Arabidopsis thaliana: one gene and its partner. The protein of the gene in region 2 interacts with the protein of the main gene of each other region in a pairwise test. Each region holds a gene or a part of one and is shown on either strand. Other genes may lie near its edges.

Region 1 (3,835 bases), 2.5 Mb from region 2:
TTGAGAGTTTGTGAGTTTGCATTTGTTGTGAATTGAACTCAAATCGCAACTTTGTCAAAGTGTCTTAAGTCCGACCCAAATAAAGTCTACTACTAAAGCAAATTTCTTTGTATAGTGTCTAAAACTAAATAAGCAAAATGCTTTTGCAATTTTTACATGTTATGTTAAGCAGTTGCCTCTTAGTCAAAAACAAGAACAATGTAGTGTTGAATCTGAAGCAGAGAGTCTGCAATTTTGAAACCCATGTCGTAATATAGAAATTTCATTTTTGCCGCCAAAAATAGAAATCGGTTATAAAAAGAAAGCATTCAAGCCAAAATTTCAAATATATATATGCTTATAGGAGGATTAAGCTTAGAATCATCTTTGGTCTGTCTTCATTCCTCTCCTCGCAGCATCTCAGTGCCAACTCAAGAATCAAACAGAAACAAAAAAAAAAAAAAAAAAAAGTCTTGACCTTTATAAGTTTGACCGAACTGTTTTAAATATTGTTCTGGGACCCAAAAGACAGCCGTTTTTTTTAATGTTTTTATTTGTGTTTCTTTGACCTCAAATGTTATAATCAAATCATACACTTTCCTTTGAACCATTCTAATCTTTTCACGAAAAAAAAGTTTCTTCTTGGGGAGAGGCTTTGATACTGATCCATCTGTGTATTGATGAATGATCAGAAGATGAGTTGTTGGAGGAAGAAGTCGAAGAAGAAGAACTCAGAAGCAAATCAACGGCAAAGATGGTTCCAAGAGAACGGGAAGGTACTCTTAGAAGATCTCATCGAGCTTTGCAATGGCAAATCCAATCCAATCAAAACCTTCTCTGCTGAAGAAATCCTCCAAGCCACCGATAACTTCAGCGAGAGCAATCTCGTGATTCGGTTCAACTTTATGTACAGAGGTATACTCCAAAACCGTCCTGTTTTGATCAAAAGAGCCACATGGAACTACTACAAATCTGATACATTAGAAAAGATCTGTCGTGACATAGCGGTCTCATCAATGGTTAGTGGTCACAAGAATTTCCTCAAATTGTTAGGATGTTGTCTTGAGTTTGAGCATCCGGTCTTAGTTTGCGAGTATGCAGAACGTATACCATTCAATACTCCAAACCCGGAAATGTTGTTACCGTGGAGAATGCGAATAAAGATTGCCAAAGAGATTGCGATTGCGGTTTCTTACCTTCACACCGCGTTGTCAAGAACTATGATTCATACGGATATACAACCTTTTAACATTTTCGTGGATTCCAATGGGACAGCAAAGCTAAGTGACTTTTGTCTTTGTATCGCAATTCCAGAAGGAGAGACATTTGTTAAGGTTCATGCTGATAGAGTAGAAGGAACATTAGATTATCTAGAGTATAACTACGCGGCGACCGGATTGATCACCGAGTATACCGATGTTTTTAGCTTTGGAGTGTTGTTGCAAAACTTTTTCACAAGAACGTACGGAGTGGTTGATTGTTGTTGCAGTGAAGATGAGAGTCTATTTGAAGAGTTTGAAGACAAACAAAATGTAATGAATCTAAGGATTTCAGATAGGATATCCAAATTTGTGGAAGAGGGAAGAATCTTTGACATGTTGGATCCAAAAATGTTGGAAAGTATGGGTGATGATGAAACCGAAGAACACAAGATACGACGAATGAAAGCAGTCCTTATGCTCTCACTCAGATGTACTGGTCATAGAGGTGATGTTCCAAAGATGATGGAAGTTGCCAAGGAACTAAAAAGGATTGAGAGATGGACATAGAGGAAACTTTTACAAAGTTTATTGTGTGCATTTGTATGAAGAGGGCTAACTGGTGGGCAGAGTAGCTACAGTTAACTTATTTGCTCAATGTGTAATATTTAAGAAGATGTGGATCAAATTGAAATATCTAATTATGGGAGTAGAATGTATATTATAAATGTATTGGGTCAATATTTAATAACTAAAACGACATGGATAAGATTATAATATCTAATTTGTCGGAATTTGACCACTCAGTAGTTGACTATCACAAATCAAGTTTGCTTCTTTGCAAAAGCCAAAGTTTCGAACTTTCTCCAATAGAGATGAGCAAGAACAATAAGAAGAAGAGAAGATGGGATTTGAAGAACGGAGGGATTCTATTAGAGGAGCTAATCGCTTCCTTCGACGGCAAAACCAATCCGATTCGTTGCTTCTCCTCCGATCAGATCCTTAAAGCTACCGACAATTTCTCCGAAAGCCGAATTATCTCCAGCTGGGGATACTTCATATGGTACAAAGGCGTAATCGAAGAAAGACAAGTTTCAATCAAGAAATGGTCGAGTCAAAATCTCTCAAGCTTCACAGAAGCGTATAGAGATATCTCTGTATCCTCTCAGATGAGTGGACACAAGAACGCTTTAAAGCTTATAGGTTGTTGTTTGGAGTTTGATCTTCCAGCTTTAGTCTGTGAATACACAGAACACGGACCGCTTAATAGAGACGGAGGACTCTCAAGTGGAGTGGTTTTACCATGGAAAGTGAGATTGAAGATTGCTAAAGAGATAGCTAGTTCTGTGACTTATCTTCACACGGCGTTTCCAGAGACTATAGTCCATCGGAATATAAATCCGACGAACATTTTCATTGATGAGAATTGGACGGCGAAGCTTTCTGATTTCTGGTTCTGTGTTGCAATACCAGAGGGGGAATTGTATGTAGAAGATGATGTGAAAGGTGTGATTGGTTTTGTTGATCCGGACTATTACTGGACAATGAAAGTTACTGAGAAAGTGGATATTTATAGCTTTGGTGTTGTGATGTTGGTTTTGTTGTCTGGAAGAGCTGCTGTGTTTAATGGACCAGATGAGGCTCCTATGTCGCTTAATGATCATGTGTCTGAGGTAATGGAGAAAGGTGAGTTTGATGAGATTGTTGATAAAGAGATATGGAATGATTTGGGTGGGGATGATGATTTGGTTTTGAGACGGTCTCAGGTTAAAGCGTTTCTTAGATTAGCGTTGAGATGTGTAAGATATAAGAAGGAAGATCCAGTGAGTGGTATGCTTGAAGTTGCTAAAGAGCTCAAATTGATTGAGAAACTCTCTTGATTAGTCTTCCTTGTCTTGTTAGTTTCTTCATACCTCTTGAAAGAATGATAACTTCTGAGAAGTTTTAGTGATGTCTCAATGTGTTTGAGTTCTTGTGTTAGTCTTTATCTTGTACTATCAAGAACTCAAATGTCATATATTGAGCTTATTTTTTATTAATTCCATTATCGAATAAAGACATTTTTTTGGCCAGCCAGAGAGGGTAACTTTACTCTCCTAAGTGTGAATTTTTTAGTGATGATGTCTCAATGTGTTTGAGTTCTTGCTGCTACCTGTCTTTGTATTTTTCTATCAAGAACTCAGATGTCAAATATTGAGATCATTTTCTTGATTGATTTCGTTCTCGGATAGTGGATAAGCCAAATAGATAGTAACTTTGCCTCCAGTGTGAACACATTTAGTCTCATGTTGGTGCTCCTCAAAGTCAACACATTTCTTTAGCCGACTACATTACTCGCTTTGGTTAGTGGACCATACCCACTTTTTAGAGTAAACTATATTCAATTTTGATATGGCTTCCTTCCTTCTCTTATTCTGCAGCATTCATGGTGTTTTCGCTTCTGAGGTACAATTTCAATTCTGAGTTCAATTTCGTAGACATTATTAGAGGTTGGATTCCATTTCTTGTCTTCATATCTTTCTTTCCATTTTGGTGTTCATTAGCTTTCATTGATTGTGACAAAACTTATCAACTGCTGTTAAATATTTCTAAGTTCCAGTCTTGTTCTGTGGAGAATAGAGATCGAGAAAGTGGGATTGTTTTTATTTGCTAGAGAT
Region 2 (5,323 bases):
TTTTTTTGGATTAGTTTCTTGTCTCTTTGATTTATGAGAACCGACTTGAATGTATTTATTTTATTTTTGATGATTGAAGGAGATGAGTTCCTCTAGTGAATCTCATCTAGCCACCGCCAAAACAGCTCTCACAGCGGTTGCATCAGTTGCTGCAGCCGCAATACTAGCTCGATCAGTGGTTCAAGATTACATGCCAAACGAGGTTCATGAATATATCTCTCACGGCTTTCGCAGATTCTTCAGCTACTTCTCTTATCAGATGACAGCTGTAATAGAAGAATTTGGAGGTTTTGAACACAACCAAGTGTTTGAAGCTGCAGAGGCTTATCTCTCCACCAAGATATCTAATTCCACTAGAAGAATCAAAGTTAACAAACTTGAGAAACAGAGCAATTATAGTGTTACTGTTGAACGTGATGAGGAAGTTGTTGATATTTTTGATGGCGTCAAGCTTAGTTGGATCCTTGTATGTCGCCATGTCGATAAAAAGGATTTTCGTAACCCGAGAGATCTCAACTCCACTTTGAAATCAGAAGTGCGTAGTTACGAGCTTAGTTTCCGAAAGAAGTTCAAGAACATGGTTCTTGAATCTTATTTACCGTTTGTTGTGGAACAAGCTGCTTCTATTAAACAAAAGTTTAAAACATTGAAGATCTTCACCGTTGATTCTTACTCCGTGGAGTGGACCTCTGTGACTCTAGATCATCCTTCCACGTTTCGCACTCTCGCTCTGGATCCCGAGGTGAAGAAAAACTTGGTGGAGGATCTTGATCGATTCGTGCAGCGGAAAGGCTTTTACGGGAGAGTTGGAAAAGCTTGGAAGAGAGGTTATTTGTTGTATGGTCCTCCCGGTACTGGAAAATCAAGCTTGATCGCAGCTATAGCTAATCATCTTAACTTCGATATCTATGACTTAGACTTGACATCACTTAACAACAATGCTGAGCTACGGAGGTTACTTATGTCTACTGCAAATCGTTCCATTCTAGTTGTGGAAGATATAGATTGTTCAATCGAGTTAAAAGATCGGTCTACTGATCAAGAAAACAACGATCCGTTACATAAAACGGTGATGCATTTTGATTCACTATCAGTTATGTTGTTATGTGATCTTTTGCTTATTAGCATTACTAATGTTTTGGTTAGTCATTTTCAGGTCACACTCTCTGGTCTATTGAATTTTGTAGACGGACTATGGTCAAGTTGTGGTAACGAGCGGATTATAGTGTTTACGACTAACTACAGAGAAAAATTGGATCCAGCATTGTTGAGGCCAGGACGTATGGACATGCACATTCACATGTCGTATTGCACACCAGCTGCTTTTAAGGTTTTGGCTTCGAATTATCTCGAGATTCAAGATCATATACTTTTCGAGCAGATTGAAGAATTTATCCGAGAAATTGAAGTTACACCAGCAGAAGTAGCTGAACAACTGATGAGGAGTGACTCTGTGGATAAAGTACTCCAAGGACTTGTTGAGTTCTTAAAAGCCAAGAAGCAAATAGATAATTCAAAAGCTTAGAAGAAATTTAGTTCTTTTATTTGTTTCTTTGTTAAACACTATCATGCAATTATTGGTTATAAAATGTTACAGAAAGTGAAATCATTTTTTTTTTTCCTAAGTGAAATGCGGATATTGTTTTATGAGGTCAGAACATGTCTAAACTCAATGATAAGATTCTAAAGTAGATTGAGACAAGTTTCGTAGTCGGCAGCAGTAACCAAGAAAACGAGTAAGGTTGACTCTTGACTTGTTAAACCATTGACTTCAATTTCGATAAAGTCTCTATGTAAGCTCATTTTTCTGAAACAAGTTTTGCTAAAAAAATCCAAAGATCTGAAGCTTCAGATCCTTCTCGGCTAAGGCTAAGTCACAACCTTGTAAGTTTACTTTACTTTGGTTAGATTTGTTTCAATGTTCTAGGATTCTACATGTTTCTTGAGAAGATATGGATTAGTTAAAGAATAATCCAATCTTTTGGTTATTGAGATTCTATAGTCGTTGGTTGATTGATTTTTGGAAAGTTCAATCTAGTGATGATACACATAACCGATTGAATTATTGCTTGGTTATAGTTTACCAATTAGAGATATTTCTTGAAGTTGCAGGGTCTGAGTAAATGGTGGACGCTGTTGTAACAGTGTTTTTAGAGAAAACCTTGAACATCCTCGAAGAAAAAGGCCGAACCGTATCGGACTACCGAAAACAGTTGGAAGATTTGCAAAGCGAATTGAAATATATGCAGTCTTTTCTCAAGGATGCAGAGAGGCAGAAGAGAACTAATGAAACGTTGCGTACTCTTGTTGCGGATTTACGAGAACTGGTTTACGAAGCTGAGGATATACTTGTGGATTGTCAGCTCGCGGATGGTGATGATGGGAACGAGCAAAGGTCATCAAATGCGTGGCTTTCGCGGCTTCATCCTGCCCGGGTTCCGTTGCAGTACAAGAAAAGCAAACGTTTGCAAGAGATCAATGAGAGGATAACGAAAATAAAGAGTCAAGTAGAGCCTTATTTCGAATTCATAACGCCGAGTAATGTTGGAAGAGATAATGGAACTGATCGGTGGAGCTCTCCGGTGTATGATCATACTCAGGTGGTTGGTTTGGAAGGAGATAAAAGAAAAATCAAGGAGTGGCTCTTTCGATCAAACGACAGCCAGCTTTTGATAATGGCCTTTGTTGGGATGGGAGGGCTAGGTAAAACTACAATCGCTCAAGAAGTGTTCAATGACAAAGAGATCGAACATCGTTTCGAAAGAAGGATATGGGTGTCTGTGTCCCAGACTTTTACTGAAGAACAGATCATGAGAAGCATATTGAGGAACTTGGGGGACGCGAGTGTTGGAGATGATATTGGAACATTGCTGAGAAAAATCCAGCAGTATCTTTTGGGGAAAAGGTACTTGATAGTTATGGACGATGTATGGGACAAGAATTTGAGCTGGTGGGACAAGATCTACCAAGGACTGCCTAGAGGACAAGGAGGTAGCGTTATCGTGACCACAAGGTCGGAATCTGTAGCGAAAAGGGTGCAAGCGAGAGACGACAAGACTCACCGTCCAGAGCTCCTTAGTCCTGATAACAGTTGGCTGCTGTTTTGTAATGTGGCATTTGCAGCAAATGACGGTACTTGTGAGCGTCCCGAGCTAGAGGATGTTGGCAAGGAGATTGTAACGAAATGCAAAGGTTTGCCTTTGACAATCAAAGCGGTTGGTGGGTTACTTCTGTGCAAAGACCATGTCTATCATGAATGGAGACGAATTGCAGAGCATTTTCAGGATGAGCTAAGAGGAAACACTTCTGAAACTGACAATGTTATGTCTTCTCTGCAGTTGAGCTACGATGAACTCCCTTCCCACCTTAAGTCGTGCATTCTCACGCTTTCGCTCTATCCAGAAGACTGTGTTATACCAAAACAACAACTAGTACATGGATGGATCGGAGAAGGTTTTGTCATGTGGAGAAACGGAAGATCTGCAACTGAATCTGGAGAAGACTGCTTTTCCGGGCTCACAAACAGGTGTCTAATAGAAGTTGTAGACAAAACCTATAGCGGAACCATCATCACTTGCAAGATTCATGACATGGTTCGTGATTTGGTGATCGATATAGCCAAGAAGGATTCGTTCTCTAACCCGGAAGGCCTCAACTGTCGTCACCTTGGGATTAGTGGAAACTTTGATGAGAAGCAGATCAAAGTTAACCATAAGCTGAGAGGCGTAGTGTCAACAACTAAGACAGGTGAAGTGAACAAGCTCAACTCAGACTTAGCTAAGAAATTCACAGACTGCAAATATCTTCGGGTTCTCGATATCTCGAAATCCATATTTGATGCTCCTCTGTCTGAGATTTTGGATGAGATTGCAAGCCTTCAACACTTAGCATGTCTTAGTTTGAGCAACACACATCCGTTGATCCAGTTTCCTCGTTCCATGGAAGATCTCCACAACCTTCAGATTCTAGACGCAAGCTACTGTCAGAATCTGAAACAACTTCAACCTTGCATCGTCTTGTTCAAGAAACTCCTTGTACTTGACATGACGAACTGTGGATCCCTTGAATGCTTCCCCAAGGGTATCGGAAGTCTCGTGAAGCTCGAAGTTCTGTTGGGATTTAAGCCAGCCAGGTCCAACAATGGGTGCAAGCTCAGTGAAGTGAAAAATCTCACAAACCTTCGGAAACTTGGTCTTTCTCTGACTCGTGGCGATCAGATAGAAGAGGAGGAGCTTGATTCTTTGATAAACCTAAGCAAGCTGATGTCCATTTCGATCAACTGCTATGATAGCTACGGCGATGATCTCATAACCAAAATAGACGCCCTTACTCCTCCACACCAGCTCCATGAGCTTTCTCTACAATTCTATCCTGGAAAGTCGAGTCCATCGTGGTTGAGTCCTCACAAGCTTCCGATGTTGAGGTACATGTCAATATGTTCAGGTAATTTGGTGAAAATGCAGGAACCATTCTGGGGAAACGAGAATACTCACTGGAGAATTGAAGGTTTAATGTTAAGTTCATTGTCGGACCTAGACATGGACTGGGAAGTGCTGCAACAGTCAATGCCGTACCTGAGGACCGTGACCGCAAACTGGTGTCCAGAGCTAGAGTCTTTCGCGATTGAAGATGTTGGCTTTAGAGGCGGAGTGTGGATGAAAACACCATTGCACAGAACCTGATGAAACGTTTTAAGCAACTAGATCAATGTTTATTAAACAGTGACAATAAGTTGGTGTATTACATATACCTTGATACAATGTAATGTTGCTTTGACCGTTTGGATTTCATATCGCAATTTTCTTTTCTAATAATCATATAACAAACGAGCAAAAAGGGAAAACAGAGACTAGCAGCAATGGCAGATCTTTGATGTCAACTGCTTGATCAGTCAGAATCAGAGTCCAGATTCTCTGAAGACCTAACAGACCTCCGTATGCTCTCTTGATATTCGGCGTCTTCATCATCTTCCTCTTTCTTCTTCTTGCTGAGCATTCCTGTTAAAGATTTGCACTCTTTAAGCAAAAATTCTCTAACTGGGCCGTTATAATAAAAAAAAGGTGGGACCGAGGTTCTTCATACCCTTTTTAAGAAGAACGTTCTCTAGTTTATTCGTTGTGAAATCGTCCTTGGTTCCCAGATCCTGGAACCCAACTAGCCTATCCATCGCAACTCCCTTGCTAAGAATGGTAAAGAAACTCGTACTTTATGAGTATACACCTAACAACAAACCCTGTATGTAAGAAGGAATAGAAAGAGGCGAAACCTGAAAAGCACAACGCAAGGCAAAGTCTTTATTGCAAGCTTCGTGACAAAGAAAGGA

Evidence for each region. Proteins that work in one complex are often made in the same cells at the same time.
Region 1: the proteins of ZAR1 (region 2) and AT3G57750 interact in a two-hybrid assay, tested with the Arabidopsis thaliana proteins (one study listed by BioGRID).

Annotation. Positions count from the first base shown.
Region 1 is NC_003074.8:21,391,997-21,395,831, forward strand, and holds AT3G57750 (Protein kinase superfamily protein), read left to right. Parts: upstream 1-1,966; 5' UTR 1,967-2,053; coding exon 2,054-3,058; 3' UTR 3,059-3,292; downstream 3,293-3,835. Other genes in the region: AT3G57740 (Protein kinase superfamily protein), read left to right, coding at 660-1,748. UniProt on the Arabidopsis thaliana protein: Together with RPP13L4/ZAR1, involved in the ambient temperature (above 22 degrees Celsius)-sensitive aerial organ development.
Region 2 is NC_003074.8:18,934,004-18,939,326, forward strand, and holds ZAR1 (HOPZ-ACTIVATED RESISTANCE 1), read left to right. Parts: upstream 1-1,670; 5' UTR 1,671-1,884; exon of another isoform or gene 1,885-2,112; 5' UTR 2,113-2,123; coding exon 2,124-4,682; 3' UTR 4,683-4,796; downstream 4,797-5,323. Other genes in the region: AT3G50940 (P-loop containing nucleoside triphosphate hydrolases superfamily protein), read left to right, coding at 83-1,069, 1,157-1,525; PLP3a (thioredoxin domain PLP3A-like protein), read right to left, coding at 4,888-4,997, 5,083-5,180, 5,267-5,323.